Arabidopsis thaliana: one gene and its partners. The protein of the gene in region 2 purifies or fractionates together with the protein of the main gene of each other region. This does not show direct contact. Each region holds a gene or a part of one and is shown on either strand. Other genes may lie near its edges.

Region 1 (4,967 bases), about 17 Mb from region 2:
ATAACACATAAAGTATAAAGTATGATCTAGTAGAAATACCAATATATTTACGTATAAGAGCGTTTTCTTTGTGCATGGAAATTGGAAACGATGAAAACCAAACAAAAGAAGAATGTGGATAAATCGATAATTAATAGGCCCATAAATAAAGCCCAATGGACCTTAAATTTTGTAAATATGATTCTCTCAAATAGAACCAGACAAATAAATCTATGGAGGTCCCAATCCCAAAGATCCGCGATGGACGCTTGCATTTACTTATTTAAAGTTTTGTCATCTACAGAATTCTAATGTTATTGGAGTGTATTAAATATTTGTTGTCAAAATTAAATAAGATTAAGGATATTCCTTTTTGGCTGCCACTGAGGCACTGACCAATCGTTACTAGAAAATTTCTAATAAACTAGGTGAATATCCATTATTCAAGGGTTGGTTGAATAGTTTTTTCTTTCTAAAATGATAGCATAACTTTTGTGGTTAAAAGAAGTATTCCCTTTGTTTATATTTAAAACAACAATTACCTACCTACTCTCCTAGGATATGATTCTTCCTAATTTTTTATAAATTTGAGTTTTTAATTTTCCTGCAGATACTCATTCAACCAAGAAAAGAAAAATCTCAGTAATCAGTCGTATGCATAGAAAAAATGGTCCCACGGCATAATCATTAACCAACAGAAAATTATGAAATGTGCAACAATATCGAGTTGTCTCATTGTTATTTATACAAAACAAAAGCATTAATTGAATATTGTATAAAGGACGCATTATAATGATCGACTATTAATTTCAATTTTGATAATCTGAAGAACATCAATATCATCCATTTTTATTTTGATAATATCATACTTGACTAGGACTGAGCATAATACGCGAGTCTACGAAAACAAAAACGGTGAAGCATTATAACAACACCAATTATTCATTAAATCTATGAGAATTCACGTTGGTTTCGGTTTATAAATCTCGCTAATATTTGATGTAAGCAACGGAAGAAGTGTTGGCATCTTTGATAAGTGTACCAAGAAGAGGAGCAAGCAAACATTTCTTGTCCTTCTCCTTGTAGAAGTAACCCAAACACTTGCAATCACGATCGCACTTAGCCTTGCAATCGTTCACAGAAGTTGGGCCTTGTCCATCATTAACATACGGCCCAGTAAAATGCTCAACACCGACTATCTTGTAATAATTGACAGCTTTACCCTTGCCTCCGCTGCAAAACTGCGTCGTTTTAGGTGGAGCGCATTTATCACTCCAAGCTAACAGACCTTTCGGTGTAGGGCACCCGACGCACATTCCTCGATCGCAGTAACCGTAATCGCCGCAAAACGTCGGCAAACCGCATTGACGGACGAAGTAATTGGAGAAGAAAGCGAAAGTCTCTTCCCATTCGAGATACGTCGCGGCAGGGAAATACGAGAAGGCCTTGAGGCTACCGTCGGATCCAAGTCTCAGATACGATATCGTTCCATTGTAGTTGATTTTGTTTAAGTTTAAAGTTCCTCCTCCGCTTCCGATTGGTCTAACTTGGAGTAACCGGCGGTTATTACCCGGGTTCGTAGCGGGTTGTGGTGCGGGTTCTAAGAGAAGCTCGTAAGCTGACGGCTCCGTTAAATTATCGAACTCTCTTGTAACGGCGAACGTGACGGTACCGCGGAAGTCGTGATCCGTCCATCCCCCGTAAACTAACGGCGTACCGGTTTTGTTAACGTACATGGTTAAGCCTTTGTTGTCCAACACCATGCTGTACGGACCATCGGAGCCGTTCATATCAGATGTACGGCTAACGAGTTTGTTAACTCCGTTAACTTTTAGGGATTGGCCGACGAGGAGTGTATCGGTGGGATGATCGAAACTCTGCCAAACGAATTTTCCATGTTTGTCGTGTAGCACCATGTTTCCATTGGGCAAGATTTGGAATCCGGTGACGCCTTTGTTGGCTGTGTTAGTCTGCCACTTGACTTGGCCGTTTAACTCAGCGAGCACAAGGTTTCCGTTTCGGCCGAATGAGAGTGTGGAGTTGTCTCCGACGGGGTTGTTGCGATTGGCGTCCCAGATCCAACGCGTGAAACTCATGTCACGCCTCGTTCCGACTCGGAGAGCTAACACGTAGGCGCTAGGAGTTGTATTGTAAAACATGAGCTGGAAAGGAATTGTGAAGAAATTCTGATTCGGTGAGTTGAGGAATCGGTAACTCGCGTCGTACTCGGTGATGTATGGGGCGTAGCCGGGTTCGTTGAGCACTCTGAATTGTTTCTCGGGAGGGACTTGGGCCATGACAACCGAAACAGTTGAAATGGCAAGTGCCGTGATTAGTAAGTAATCAAACCTAAGCATGGTTGTGTTCTTTATGTTTACTGAGATTGAGTAGTAGAGTGAGATGATTTTCTATATCCTTTAGGTGTATATATAAGATCTTAACTTTGGGTCGTTGGGCTGTATTCGTTTGAAAGTCCTAAGTTTTTTTTTTTTTTTTTTTTGAATGGTCCTAAGCTGCAAATCGTGTCTTCGTTATACAGATCAACCAATGGCTCATTTATGATTTGGATAAGATATGTCTACTGAGAATTTTCGAAAATTATCGTATATACAAAAGTTGTGAGTAAAACACTAATTATATATATTGTTGTTAATCCGTTTTTATTACACAAATTTTGTATAACTAATCTCATGAAAATTGTTCAGACAAAGTTGACCATCGTTTTTGACAAAAGAAAATTTAGATTCTCCAATCGGATTCATACTTTAAACACTTGTTTTTAAATATAGAATGTACTCGTTTAAATACTTTAAACTGTAAAAATATATCTAAAAATCCTTTCAAGATTGCAATCTACCCGATCACCATTTTGATCTCTACTCAAATTAGTGAATATTTGGATAACTAAGTACCCACACTTCCCAAACTAGCTATATAAATTTCTCGATTTTACCGTCTTGTATGTAAATATACTTCATAAAGTAATTTTATATATTCTAAAGTCTAGACTACACATTCCACCTTTATCTGACCCGCCACTAGACTGTCGTATATATATATACAAATTTCCGAGATAATGCTAACAGATATAAAAACATCTCCGCCAGCTTTAACAGTAAAAAAATTAAAACTCACAATAATCATCTTGTGATGATCGAATCTTTTATGTAAGTTCAGACATCCAAAACAGTACTGTGAGTCAGATTTTGATGGTTGATGGATGCATAGCTGCTGGGCAAGCTTTCACTTTTTATCCCATGTAATGCTAAAAAGTAAAAAGTAAGACCACAAAACTTGTAAAAAATATGTACGAAGGGAAGTGGACCACACGGTTTGTCCGATTAAGATAGAATTATTGGGCTATGACAAAGCCTAAAGGCCCAATGAGTTGGAGAAGTGACAAAATTTTTGCTGTTCTTTTGACAGTATGAGTCCCAACGACCATCTACAAACCTCAGTAGTCAATTGAATTAAGAACCAAGTGAGCGGTATTCCAAGTGGAGGACCAGTGGACTACAAAACTCTTGTCAGAGGCAACAAAATAATGATAATGCTTCACATGGTATTTTGATTCTCAAAGGTACTATATATATATAGTAAATACATCTGATGGCTTTTTTTTAAGGTAATACAATATATTCAACGGTGGATCATTACAAGCACACCGATTATTCATTAAATCTCTAAGAATTCAAAAAGAATTCGGTAAATAACTTTCCCAAAAAAACACTAATATTTGATGTAAGCAACAGAAGAAGTGTTGGCATCTTTGATAAGTGTACCAAGCAGAGGAGCAAGCAAACATTTCTTGTCTTTCTCTTTGTAGAAGTAACCCAAACACTTGCAATCACGATCGCACTTGGCCTTGCAATCGTTCACAGAAGTTGGGCCTTGTCCATCATTAACATAAGGCCCAGTAAAATGCTCAACACCGACTATCTTATAATAATTGACAGTTTTACCCTTGACTCCGCTGCAAAACTGCGTCGTTTTAGGTGGTGCGCATTTATCACTCCATCCGAGTAATCCTTTTGGTGTAGGACACGCGTTGCACATCCCACGATCGCAGTAACCGTAATCGCCGCAAAACGACGGCAAGCCACATTGACGGACGAAGTAAGTGGAGAAGAATGAGAAACTCTCTTCCCATTTGAGATACGTAGCTGCTGGGAAATACGAGTAAGCCTTGAGACTCCCGTCAGATCCGAGTCTTAGATACGAAATCGTTCCGTTGTAATTGATTTTGTTCAGATTTAAAGTTCCTCCTCCGCTTCCGATTGGTCTGACTTGGAGTAACCGGCGGTTATTACCCGGGTTCGTAGCGGGTTGTGGTGCGGGTTCTAAGAGAAGCTCGTAAGCTGACGGCTCCGTTAAATTATCGAATTCTCTTGTAACGGCGAAAGTGACGGTGCCGCGGAAATCGTGATCCGGCCATCCGCCGTAAACTAACGGCGTACCGGTTTTGTTAACGTACATGGTTAAACCTTTTTTGTCCAGCACCATGCTGTACGGACCATCTGAGCCGTTCGAATCAGATGTACGGCTAACGAGTTTGTTGACTCCGTTAACTTTTAACGATTGGCCGGTGAGGAGTGTATCGGTGGGGTGATCGAAACTCTGCCATACGAATTTGCCGTTTTTGTCGTGTAGGACGATGTTTCCGTTGGGTAAGATTTGGAATCCGGTGACGCCTTTGTTAGCTGTGTTAGTCTGCCATTTGACTCGTCCGTCAGCTTCAGCGAGGACGAGGTTGCCGTTACGGCCGAGTGAGAGTGTAGCGTTTTCTCCGACGGGGTTGTTGCGATTCGCGTCCCATATCCAACGCATGGTAGACTCGTCACGCCTGAGTCCGACTCGGAGAGCTAAGATGTAGGCGCTAGGGGTAGTGTTGTAAAACAAGAGCTGGAATGGTGATGTGAAGAAGCTCTGGTTTGATGATTCGATGAATCTGTAACTTGCGTCGTACTCAGTGATGTATTCACCGAATT
Region 2 (5,132 bases):
AAATTACAATTGTTTTCTATCATGTTTAAATAATATTTTGGGCTATTATGAAACTTAGTTTGGAAAGAAATTTCATTTATGTTTTCTCAAAATGTACGTTATTTTTGAAAAAAAAAAAATATTTATTAACATGTTATTTTTGTCTAACAATATGTACATTATTGACCACAAAATAAAAGTCAAATATATCTAAGTACAATGATCCAGATTGTGGACTAAGTTGGCCTCGAGATGGGCCGATAGATTCATGCCTTAATTTTCTTAGCGTAATCCAACATTAACATAAGTAGCTTTATCTATTTGTTTATCGTAAGAAATTATAGTGGAATCTTAGCTTGTTTTGGAAGAACCAATTACTCAATTTTCGTTTATGGTGGTGAAGTTTTAAGATGCTGCATGCATTAGTCTTGTTTTGGAAGAACCAATTACTCAAACTATCTTTTTTTGTATAGTTTTTGAATAATTTTTCTAGGTTGGTTTACTATGTCTTTGTCTCATTGAATATGGATGCATTAGTCTAATCGAACTTTAGTGTTTTAGACAAAAAAAAAAACAATACTAAGTTGAAACCTACTTCAGAGATGGTCTAATTCCTCAATGCAGACGCTATATGTCCTGTGGATGACCTTGTGTTATGTGTATGTAAAGAGAAAAAAGAGGTTTGATACTAGTATATATCGATTACTTGGTTTGTTGTTTGGTATGTGTTATTTGTGATCAAATAAATTTTGTAGTGATGAAGTTATATGCATCTATCTAGTAAGGACTCCTCTTGTTTTCATCACTAGGTTTTTGTTAACCAATTATAGAACACTGAAGAATAATAAATTACGCATAGTTCTAAATAAGATATCACTATAACTTTCTTTCTTTTTTTGTATAGAGCGAGTTAAATTCCAGTAAACATAGATTATTTACTGCATCATTTGTTGCGACTATTCTGAATTGAGAACAGATTAGCCAAGAGTTGCATACTACATAATCAGTTTAATATATAAGCAAAAGTTACATAAATTGGAGCATGTTGTATCAGAATACTACTCTGTTTTTCCTTCTATTTTTTAAAATCATTTTTCTATCATGTTAAAGTAATATTTTAGCTGCTATATAAAAAATGCATAATAGTTGAGAACTTAAATACTACTTTGAGTACTTTCACTAATACATATTGTTAGAATGAAGCTTCTTCATAACATAAAACTACTTTATTTGTTGTAATCTTTTTAATACAAATTTTATTTGGAGCTAAACTTTATTGGTCACGGTAAATATCCAACTACCAGTTGTAGCTTTCTTGCCGCTTAAGCTTTACAAGGAGAAAGAGGAGAGCCGCAAAGACAGTCATTACCCACAAACGCACTGGCCGGGAACTTTGTTACTGGAAGCTTTCCACAAAGATGGTTGTGACTCACGTTCAATGTCTTTAGTCCAGCCACCATTGCCGGCACCTTCCCAAATACCAAGTTCCTTGATATATCTAAAGTTGTCAGCGTCTTTGCAAACGTTAGCTTCCCCATATCGAATCGTAGTTTGTTACCCGCTGCCTTGAACTCCACTAGATACTCTGTTTGGTTCAAGAACCTTGCTGGACTCCCTGTGATCTCGTTTTCCGACAGATCGATGAAATCATAGTAGAATGTTTGCGCTGGCTTCCAATCGTCTAAGCTCATCTTGATCCCGCATTTTGCTAGCTTCAACGAGAAGATGATCGGCGACGAAGTCACCCATTTCGGGATCGTATTCAAGTGAAACTGGTTGTAAGAAAGATCCAAAGATTCAATGCCTTTAACGTTCAAGACAGGGAATGGATCGGTTAGAAGATTATGGGAGAGATCAAGATTGAATATCTTGGTCAGATTGGCGAAACTCTTCGGTATGACACCCGAGAACCGATTCTTGGAGAGATCCAATGTGTCGAGCGCCTTGAAGTTTGATAAAAAGTTTGGAATCGTCCCGGAGAGTTTGTTATGGCCTAACTCGAGGAACCTAAGAATCGGTGCGAGTGATGCAATGGACGGAGGAAGATTCCCGGAGAATCCGTTGCGGGAGAGAGTTAAAGATCGGAGCTCTGGCATGGATTTGAAAATATCTGGAATGGTTCCAGTGAGACGGTTACCTCCAAGGTTGAGATACGACATGAGCTTGAGATTAGCGACCCCTAACGGTATAGTTCCGGTTAGGAGATTATTGCCGAGTTTGAGTTGAGTTAACAGAGTCAAATTAGATATCGAGCTCGGGATCGGACCGGTGAACCGGTTTCCCTCGAGGCTGAACGCTTCAAGCTGGCTTAGCGCACCGATGTTAGCCGGAAGAGTACCAGAGAGACGGTTATTCTCAATGTATACGTACTTAAGATTTGGTAATTGGAAAAGGAATTGAGGAAAAGAACCAGTGATGTTCTTGAGATCGGTGAAGTAAATCCCATCAAGGTGCTTGAGTTTAGCCAACGACGGCGAGAGAGTGCCGGAGAGGAAGCTTCCAGCAACATCGGCTTGTCCAGCGACAGAGAGTGCAGAGACACGGTCAGTGGTGAGACAAGTGACACCGTTCCAAGAACAACAAGCGGTACCTTTCTTCCAAGAACTGAGAATACCCGAAGGATCTCGGGTTATACCCGCTTTGAAAGCTAGAAGACCCGCTTCATCATCAGGATGACACGTGGCAGCTCCGGTGGGATTTAGACATTGGAGGAAGATGACGAAGGTAAAGATGAAGAGAGTAAAGGAAGAGTTCATGGTGGTGAATTGTGTTGTGTTGATTGAGAGAAGAGAGCTATTAGTAGTGGGGAAAAGATTACTTGAGAGCTGCGAAGTCAAAGTTGACGTTTTTGACCAATCCATTTGCATCTGCATGTGACCATAATTATTAGTGGTATCCGTAATCGTGGTCGAATTTATCATTTTTCCCCGACACACTTGAAAAAGACAGTTTCATTAGATTTTTATTATAGTTTGTCTTTTCTTGACTATTATATATGCATAGGTCTTCTCTTGACAATTAACACGTCTTAATGTTTTGCTAAAAACAAAATTCTACTTTTTTCAGACTTCTTATAATATATTTTCGTTTTTTTTGGTTATATTTTGAAACTCCAGTAAGTCATAGTATTTTTATTTTTCACAACATTTCCGACAAAAGAAACTGTCATAGACTCAAGAGCCAAACGATTCTAACAGCAAGAACAGAGTAATTGATGTTCCAATACATGACTGGGCTGGACTTCCGCCAACTGTTTTTGGCGATGCAATAACACTTCCAGGAAACAATCAGTTTATACAAGACCTCCTTATTAATATTAAAATTACTAGAAGAATATTGAGCATTTATAATATTATATTGTAGCAGTTAATCGTGTTCTGCTATAATTTACTAACCAGCTAAAACGTTATAACGTTTGGTTTTCAAAACGTTATACTATCTTACCCCGGGAAATAAAATGACTCGGGTCAATATTTTTAGATTAGGGGTTATTATTCGATAGCACTAATTTACAAAAACCGCTACCTAATATAGTAGCGCGGAATGAAATTTTTTTGCTCGTTGGAGAATAAAATATTTGGTGACTTTTAACCCCGAAATTTTTTTCTAAGGCCAAAAAACATTGTTCGTGTTCTCACTGTTTTTCATCTCACTGTTCTTCATCTCTTTCAATTCTCTTTTTCAATTCTCTCTGTTTGTGTTCGTGTTCTTCAGCTGTCTGTCTCTCTCCCGTCTCTGTTCGTGTTCTTGCTCAACGCCTCAATCTCTTTTGGTACTCTTCAGCTTCTCAGTCACAGATCTGGTTCTAAATCGAGAAGGTTATGTTTCTTTTGTAATCGATTTAGGGTTTGCATTGTGAAATTGTCTGGTTTGAGTTTCGATTTGGGGTTTTAATCACATTTAGGGTTTGATTTTCAGGTTTCTCAGATTTAGGGGTTTCGATTTGGGGCTTTCGCTATCCGCGTTTCTCAAAGATTTCAGTGGCTTCTCTTTGACAAGTATGTTATTTAGATCGATTTCTGTGGTTCTTAGATCGATTTTGAGTTTCATATAGCTTTGAACTTGACTATTCTCATGTGTCGAATTGAGTTTCATATAGCTTTGATAGTGAGCATTCATTTGTATCGAATTGAGTTTCAAATAGCTTTGATAGCTTGTATTCACTTGTATTGATTAGAACTTGACTATTTTCAGTGACTATTGACTTGTATCGATTAGAAGTTGACTATTTCTGTGACTTTTCACTTGTATCCAATGGAACTTGACTATTTATGTGATTCACTTGTATCGAATTGAGTTAATTTCTGTGGTTCTTAGTATACGTGTAGCTTTGAGTTTATGTGGTTCTTGTATTCAATATAGCTTTGATAGTATTGAATTTTTGTTTTTGAAATTTCTCTTTGTGTCTTTGTTCTTGTATCTCTGTTAACTAATATATATATATATATATATATATATATATATATATAAATATTATCATATATATGGGGTTGGAGCTTGTTGGTGTTTCAAAAATGGATAAGAGTTGGGTATGGCTGCCAAGGAATAGCATTGAGTACGAGAAAGGAGCAACAAAATTTGTTTACGCATCATCGAGACGTTTGGGAGATCCTTCTGAAATGTTTTGTCCATGTACGGATTGCCGGAATCTGTGTCATCAACCAATTGATACTGTTTTGGAACATCTGGTTATTAAAGGAATGAATCATAAATACAAGAGAAATGGATGTTGGAGTAAGCATGGGGAGATACGGGCTGATAAGTTAGAAGCTGAGTCTAGTAGTGAATTTGGAGCTTATGAGTTGATAAGAACAGCTTATTTTGATGGAGAAGACCATTCTGATTCTCAGAATCAGAATGAAAATGATAGTAAGGAGCCATCAACTAAAGAAGAATCTGACTTTAGAGAGAAGTTGAAGGATGCTGAAACTCCATTATATTATGGGTGTCCCAAGTACACAAAGGTGTCTGCAATTATGAGGCTTTACCGCATTAAAGTAAAGAGTGGGATGTCTGAGAATTACTTTGATCAACTTTTGAGTTTAGTGCACGACATCTTACCAGGAGAGAATGTGCTTCTAACTTCAACAAATGAGATCAAAAAATTCTTGAAGATGTTTGGTTTTGGGTATGATATCATTCACGCTTGTCCG
Region 3 (7,578 bases), on a different chromosome or scaffold from region 2:
GCAGATACCTCTTTGTGATCGACTGGAACAGAGGGATACAATCTAAGAGTCTCAGACAAAGCAGCTTGTAGATAATCCATTTTCTTGATCTCTTCTGGTCTGAAGACGGGCTCATATTCCATGTTCTTCTTTGTATCTCCATGATCAACCCTCTGCTCAAGAATCTTGCAAATTCCCATCATAATTTTCTCCTCCACTTCCGGATTCTTCTCGATTAACCAGAAAAACCAGCTTAGAGCCACAGAGGAAGTGTCTCTCCCAGCAAGTATGAAGTTCACACAAATATCACGCAAGAACTTATCTGAAAATTTCTGTCCATTTTCGTCTCGTAGACCCATAAAAATAGTCAAGAGATCAGGTCTCTTCGCGATTTCAGTCTCTAGAGACATCTCTTTCTTCCTCGTCCGGATTACTTCTTCAGCGAAATCATCCACACCATTTATTGATTCCTTTAGCTTCTTCTCCGTTCCTAAATTAAGAGACCTCATGAGCTTCCACACGAATTTAGGCATCACAAATCTCACAACTGTTGCTTCTGTTGCGTCCTCGAAGGCTTTTGCAAAAGGAATTTCGGGTAGTTTTGGACTAAGACAGCCTGGATCGACCCCGAAAGCAATCATGCATACATTGTCGAACGTTAGTCTTAACAAAATGTCCTGAAGATCAATCTTTCCGGAAGTTTCTAGAACCGGCAAAAGTCGATTATGCACGAGTTCGTGCAATGATTGACTGGTTAATTGTCTGAATTTAGCCGAATGGAATTCGACACTTGCTGCTTTCCTTTGTCGTTGCCACGTTCCGTCATCGGTGTTGAAAATCCCGTCTCCGAGTAGATCTTGCATGGTCTCACGGAAGTAAGAACCCTTTGGGTAGATAGAGAAACGGGTCTTGAGAAGATGCTCAACGTTTCTTGGGTCGCAGGTAACAACGCAGTTGAGGGTGCTAAACCAAGGACCTCTAAACCGGAATGTCCCGTTTTGGCTGATAAGAACATCAGACAGCCATTCGTATATGTTGCTTCGTACCGCGGATATCAACGAAGGAAGCATGCCAACCAACGGCCAAACGGGCATCCCTTGGTGTTTCTTCTGGCGCAAGGAATGTATTGTCGCAAACACGAAAAAGGCAATAAAGAGCTCAAGAATCTGAACATCTCTCAGGGAAAACAGCCTCCTTGAAACCAGAAGTTCGTCGCTTCCGAAACAAGAAGAGGACACGGCAGTAGCCGTGAGATTATAAGAAGAAAAACTAAGATTCATAGTGACAAAGAAGGAACAAAGAAACAGAGTGTGTATAATTTTTTTGCAGAGAGAAAGAGAAAGAGAGATAAGAAATAATGAAGTTGTTAGTTAATTTAGTAGGTGAAGAATGTGAAATGAGGGAAGAAGGATTTAAGACGCATAAGTTTCGTGTTTGGCTCTCAATGTGAAATTGGGTTTGATTTGGTGAGCTAAAAAAAGTTCGTTGCTCTTTTCTAACGGTCTTTTAAATTTGTGTGGCTCTTTATTCTCGTGTTTTGCTATGTTTTCGTTTTGGTCTTTTGAAAGGACGAATCTTTTGGAGGGGATTAACTAGAAAATTAGGAAAATTAGAATTAGGGTTTTAGACTTGAGGATTGTTGATAAAAGAGAAATTGACAGGTGGGTAGTGACGGATCACCTAAGTTCTTGTTTATTTGTTATACACTTTATTTTATTTTGTCAAACAACTTGTTTAATTTATACGTGTGGAAATTGGAATTGGAAGAATATTAATAGTGAGTAATTCAAATAAACAGAATTTTTTTGGATACTACTGTACTATTTTAAACCTGGCGGTGAAGCCGTTGTTGTTTGAATTTAGGTTATCTGCATATATCTGGTGAATAATTGTTTTCGAACAATTTGGGCTTAGAAAACATATGGGCCTATCAATAAAGTATCGGGCCTTTGATATATATAAAATTTCATTAACCTCATTATTAATGTATTTTGGGCCTTACAGGCCCTCTGGCCTCTTCTAGGTGACTATAGCATCAATAAATGATTCTCATTAAGCCGCCAATTTCTCTGGCCTCTTCTAGGTGACTATAGCATCAATAAATTATTCCCGAGACAATTGCGAATAAACCACTTTCTTTGGAAATTATCATTGAGATCAACATAAAACATAAGCTTTGTTTATATGACAATGCTGTTGTTTTAAAGCTCTACGGTAGTACTACACATGTAATTTAATGAATTTTAATTGATTTCTAAACAGTACGAGCAATTTGTGTGTTGAATTCAACTTTGATTATATGGTTTATAAAACCTTGTTTTGGGAGATGAAATTCTGAATTAAGAAAAATAAAGAAGAAAGCATTTAATTTGCCGATGGCTCCATCTCCATAGCCATGTGGTTCAGTCTCCGATGATGACATCTCAAGCGTTGAAATTCAATTCCATCTTTCTGTAAAAGGTGAGAAAATTGGTAGTGAACCAACCATGTTATCGGAGACCGTGGAGGCACATTACAAGGAAATGATTATGAAATGTGTTTATTGTTATAACATTTTCACGTGAGTATCAAAAAAAAAATCTCATGAAAAATAAAAGACTTTTAAAGTTTTTTTTAATATAAAAAAAGACAGTATAAAGTAGAAGAAGTGGGGGCGTTTTCTCATCTGCTCTTCATTTCGATAAATAATTGAAAAGAACAAAAGAAACAAAAGAGACGAGAAAGAGTTTTGGCGATGAAGAAGAACGCACTTTGGCTACTGTGCATTCTGGTGTTACCGGCGATAGCCTGTGGTAGGAAACCGGAGAAGAAGGTAACAATTTCATCCTCTGGGAGGAAGGAAGATGACCTTGTAACCGGTTTGCCCGGCCAACCACCGGTTAACTTCAAACACTACGCCGGTTACGTGAATCTGGGGCCTGAACAGAAGCAAAAGGCACTTTTCTATTGGTTCTTCGAAGCTCAACAAAACTCTTCTCGTCGTCCTCTCGTCCTTTGGCTCAATGGAGGTCAGTTTCTCTTCCTCTCTCGCTCATTTACATAAAGTATATTTTATTTGAAGTAGTAATACAAACTTATCATTGTTCTCAATTGGAATTTTCATTCGAAACTTCATTGTTTCTGCGGTTTTACAAATATGTTTACCAATTTTAAAATGATAGCACCTTTTTTGAAACGGATGATGTGATGATTATGTTTGCAATAAAAAAATCAGTGTAATGAAAGATTAATGAACTCTCAAGCTCGTGCCTCGTGGGCCATGGTAATTAGGTTAATACATATGTCTAATCACACCATCACGTATTGACCACAAAACTCTGTGCCTGCAGGCCGTGATGTTGGGAAAATAATAGATAAAACTTGCACGAAAAAGAAAAAGAAAAAACACTAAACATAGAGAAATGTTTTCGGCAGTTGTATTTTCTTGGATACATAATTGAATTTGGACTAAAATTTTAATTATTTATATAGCTAACTCTTAGAAAACATCAAGTTGTGTACATTGTCCTACCAAACTCCATCGTCTGTCTCCTTACCCTGCCTTGTAACTTGCCAAGCAGTTCCTTTCGTTTCAGTAACAATAAAATTTTACTGTAATTGTATCGCAACGAGATAGTAAAGGGTCGTTTCGATGCAGTTGTTTTTGTTTTAAATTTTCCAAAAATTACAAGTCTATCAAATAGCCAAAACTTAAAGTAGTCTATTGTTTGTACAGTTATATATCGCTATTCTTAATAATCTGTAACTTATAGATGCCGTGTATGGCTTGATAAAAATAGCCAGAAACACCATTAAGTGATACACTGATACTATTCAACATTTTTGTTCCTTACTATTGCTTGATGGAGAAGTGATAACAAATCTGATACAGTTGGGAATGCCGACAAATTTTAATTGCCTACTTTAATAATATTTCGTTTTGTGGAACGCACTTCAACAATCTGTAGTCTGTATACGGTGGAACGAGTAGGTTCTTGCCTCTTCGGGACAAATATAGTCCAGTCCTCGTTTTCTTAACGTGAAATCTCAAAACCATAGCTTAAAACAAGTTGTATTTGAAAATGAGCTTCGATCTAATTAAGTGAACAAAAGTTATTCACAAAAATTAAAATTAACCTGTTTAAATACATCATATTTTTTCGTGAAGATTCAGTGAAATAAAACACTATACTATAACCCAACAACATATTTGGAAAAAATATCAACGAAGTCGTATATGGTCCGGCTCTCTGACAGATATTGGACTTGTATCATTCAATCAGTGTCCTTTTTGTGTAACATTCAATGTCCAAATCTTGTTTCTAGAGTGAGTAAAGATCTTTTGTCTGTTTCTTCTTTTTCTCTCGGTAGTTGTACATTCAATTTAACGAATTTACTTTATACGGTTTGTCTTTTTTCCCACACGGTTCATTCCAATATTAGGATATTTAGGGATACGAGAAATATCAACCTAGTCTTTTTTATTGGGGCTAGAAATCGGATAAGATGTTGAATATTCAATTATACACTTAGAAATAAACAAAAAGCTATGTCTAATAATAATGTGGAGTTGTGTACATGTCTAGTTTGAACAGAAAGATTGAAATTTGTTAATAATGAGGTATTACCTTTATAGGATTTGCGTGATTGAAGGGTACACACGAATCCAATGTAATCAAGAGCAATAGCAAAATCTTTAGTTATTTAATTTCTGTATACGAAAATGATATTTGAATCTTGATAGACAACTCGGGACAAAATACTGACGTCTAGCTAGCTAGTCTCATTAATTTTATTTTTTCTCGACAAATTTAGTTGTTTAGTTTTGGATTTTCTTGACAAATCTAGCGATGGAATTGAAAATAGCAATTTTCTTTAGTGAATTGTATTATTACATATTTGGTGAAACTCTTAAATTATTTTCATCAGTTTAACTAAAATCCAAAATATGCAGGACCGGGTTGCTCATCAATAGCCTATGGAGCTGCACAAGAACTAGGCCCTTTTCTTGTTCACGACAACGGTGGCAAACTTACCTACAATCATTTCTCTTGGAACAAAGGTAAAATGAATTATTACCATACTATCAGAAACATTTGAATTCTTTAGCTAACATGTATACTAATATTAACCGTGGTTACATTAAAAAAAATGTTTGTGCAGAGGCCAATATGTTGTTCTTGGAAGCGCCGGTTGGGGTTGGGTTCTCGTATACCAATAACTCAATGGATCTTCAAAAGCTTGGAGATGAAGTTACTGCATCGGACTCTCTTGCTTTCCTGATCAACTGGTTCATGAAATTCCCCGAGTTCCGATCCAGCGAGTTCTACATCTCTGGCGAGAGTTACGCCGGTAAGTGCTTTATCCGATTTTAATTCTTGATTTATGAATTATATCACCTAATATAAAAGAATTAATCTTGTATATTAATATTATATAAAACAAAGATTGAATCACATGCTTTTGATCTTCTTTTCTCAGGTCACTATGTTCCTCAGCTCGCGGAGGTAATTTACGACAGGAACAAGAAGGTTACGAAAGACTCTAGCATTAATCTCAAGGGATTCATGGTATGCACTCTATATATATGTATACTACTAGTAAGGTTACTTGCGAAACGAGGAAGCAACGTTTCTTGTGCTATAAGTAAACATAAAAGGTATTCGTTTGATGTTGCAGATAGGGAACGCGGTGATCAATGAGGCAACAGACATGGCAGGACTAGTGGACTACGCATGGAGCCACGCTATAATATCGGACGAGGTCCACACCAGCATCCATGGCTCGTGCAGTTTTGAGGAAGATACCACCAACAAGACCGAACAATGCTACAACAATTTCAAAGGGTTCATGGATGCTTACAATGATATCGATATATACAGTATCTACACTCCCGTTTGCCTCTCCTCTTTGTTGTCATCTTCTCCAAGAAAACCTAAAATCGTCGTGTCTCCTCGTCTCCTTACTTTTGACGTACGTAATCTACAATACAATATAGTATCATTGTAACATAATGTAATTACCATAATCTCTCTTCTTACTTTTTCTTACCAATTCTTCTCTTTTGATGGTTTAGGATTTGTGGGACAAGTTTCCGGCCGGGTACGATCCATGCACTGAAAGTTATGCCGAGAATTACTTTAACCGGAAAGATGTGCAGGTTGCACTCCATGCGAACGTCACCAACCTTCCTTATCCGTACTCTCCTTGCAGGTTAGTCCTCCTTACGTTACGTGGTACTAACTAAAATTAATAGCTAGCTAGAGACTTTGTATGTTAAGTTTAATGTCATGTTTCTAATGAACAAAGTATATATATATATGATCTTGTGGGTGTGATTCAGCGGAGTAATAAAGAGATGGAGTGATGCTCCATCCACCATGATTCCCATCATACAAAAGCTTTTGACGGGTGGCCTCCGTATCTGGATCTATAGGTATCTATATCTTTCTTTAACTGTTTTAAAAATTACGTGAAAAATTCATATATATTGTCAATTAGTTTAATGTTCACTGGTTCAATGTTGGCTATAGTGGAGATACGGATGGGAGAGTTCCGGTAACATCTACACGTTATAGCATAAAAAAGATGGGACTTAAGGTCGAGTCACCGTGGAGGTCATGGTTCCACAAGAGTCAAGTAGCTGGATGGGTTGAGACTTATGCCGGTGGACTAAATTTTGTCACGGTGAGAGGAGCCGGTCACCAGGTTCCGGCCTTGGCTCCGGCGCAATCTCTCACATTATTCTCTCACTTCATTTCTTCTGTCCCCTTGCCTTCAAAACGGTTCTGATATCAGTACCGTCAAGTCATGATGGCAAGTTGTTGTTGTTGTTTTGGAACCTTCGTTTAGCACTCTCCCAATTGATTTTATGAATTTCAATTGATGAATAAAGATTCTTCAACTTTTAGTTATATAATAAGGCTTTTACCTTTCTACGCACGTTTTTCGTTGTTTAATAATTTCCAGTATTTCAATTTTCAATAATCAACAAATCAGTAGTCTACTTCATTAATTTTGGAACTCAATGAAAATTTTCAAATTAATTTTAATATGAATGAAATAAATTAGGGGGAGACGGCCCTTAAGGCCCATTATAAATTTAGAGGGCCATTAAGGCCCATTAACACAAATTAAACCCAGTCATGGAGCTGAGGCAGTAGCGTTCGTTTTTTTGGAATCAATCACCGAAAGAGATCTTTCAACTGAAGCACCTGCGATTCATCTTCTTCTCTGCCCGTCGTTTCAACGTGAGGAGAAAAAAGAATGGCGTTTGCAAAAATGATGTTTCTTTTCGGAAAATTTCAGCAGGTGAATATATGAAGTTCTTATCTTCTAATCTGACTTATTTTTGAAACTTCCTCTCTGGTACGTGTTTTTTGATGTTGGGTATGAAGAAAGTTCGAGGCTTTTCAAAGGATTTAGTCTTCACTGTAATATGATTCCTGTGACTATATTTTGTAGCTTGTATAGACTTCAGAACATATGTGAGTACTTGAAAATGATTGAATTCTCAATGATTTGCTTTCTGTCCATAAAATGTAATTTGAAGTTGCTCATACGATAATAATAGGCATTGTCAATTTTGATTCAATGGTGAATTTGCTTTTAATTTTCTTT

The links.
Region 1: the proteins of AT1G33590 (region 2) and AT1G78820 fractionate together in Arabidopsis thaliana (co-fractionation; one large-scale study listed by BioGRID). This does not show direct contact.
Region 3: the proteins of AT1G33590 (region 2) and scpl35 fractionate together in Arabidopsis thaliana (co-fractionation; one large-scale study listed by BioGRID). This does not show direct contact.

Annotation. Positions count from the first base shown.
Region 1 is NC_003070.9:29,633,433-29,638,399, forward strand, and holds AT1G78820 (D-mannose binding lectin protein with Apple-like carbohydrate-binding domain-containing protein), read right to left. Parts: upstream 2,500-4,967; 5' UTR 2,337-2,499; coding exon 969-2,336; 3' UTR 664-968; downstream 1-663. Other genes in the region: AT1G78830 (Curculin-like (mannose-binding) lectin family protein), read right to left, coding at 3,709-4,967.
Region 2 is NC_003070.9:12,175,391-12,180,522, reverse strand, and holds AT1G33590 (Leucine-rich repeat (LRR) family protein), read right to left. Parts: upstream 2,851-5,132; 5' UTR 2,847-2,850; coding exon 1,302-2,846; 3' UTR 895-1,301; downstream 1-894.
Region 3 is NC_003076.8:2,654,523-2,662,100, forward strand, and holds scpl35 (serine carboxypeptidase-like 35), read left to right. Parts: upstream 1-2,531; 5' UTR 2,532-2,713; coding exon 2,714-2,987; intron 2,988-4,912; coding exon 4,913-5,020; intron 5,021-5,121; coding exon 5,122-5,310; intron 5,311-5,439; coding exon 5,440-5,528; intron 5,529-5,637; coding exon 5,638-5,931; intron 5,932-6,034; coding exon 6,035-6,171; intron 6,172-6,301; coding exon 6,302-6,394; intron 6,395-6,491; coding exon 6,492-6,750; 3' UTR 6,751-6,915; downstream 6,916-7,578. Other genes in the region: AT5G08250 (Cytochrome P450 superfamily protein), read right to left, coding at 9-1,259; AT5G08270 (C5orf35), read left to right, coding at 7,225-7,269. UniProt on the Arabidopsis thaliana protein: Probable carboxypeptidase.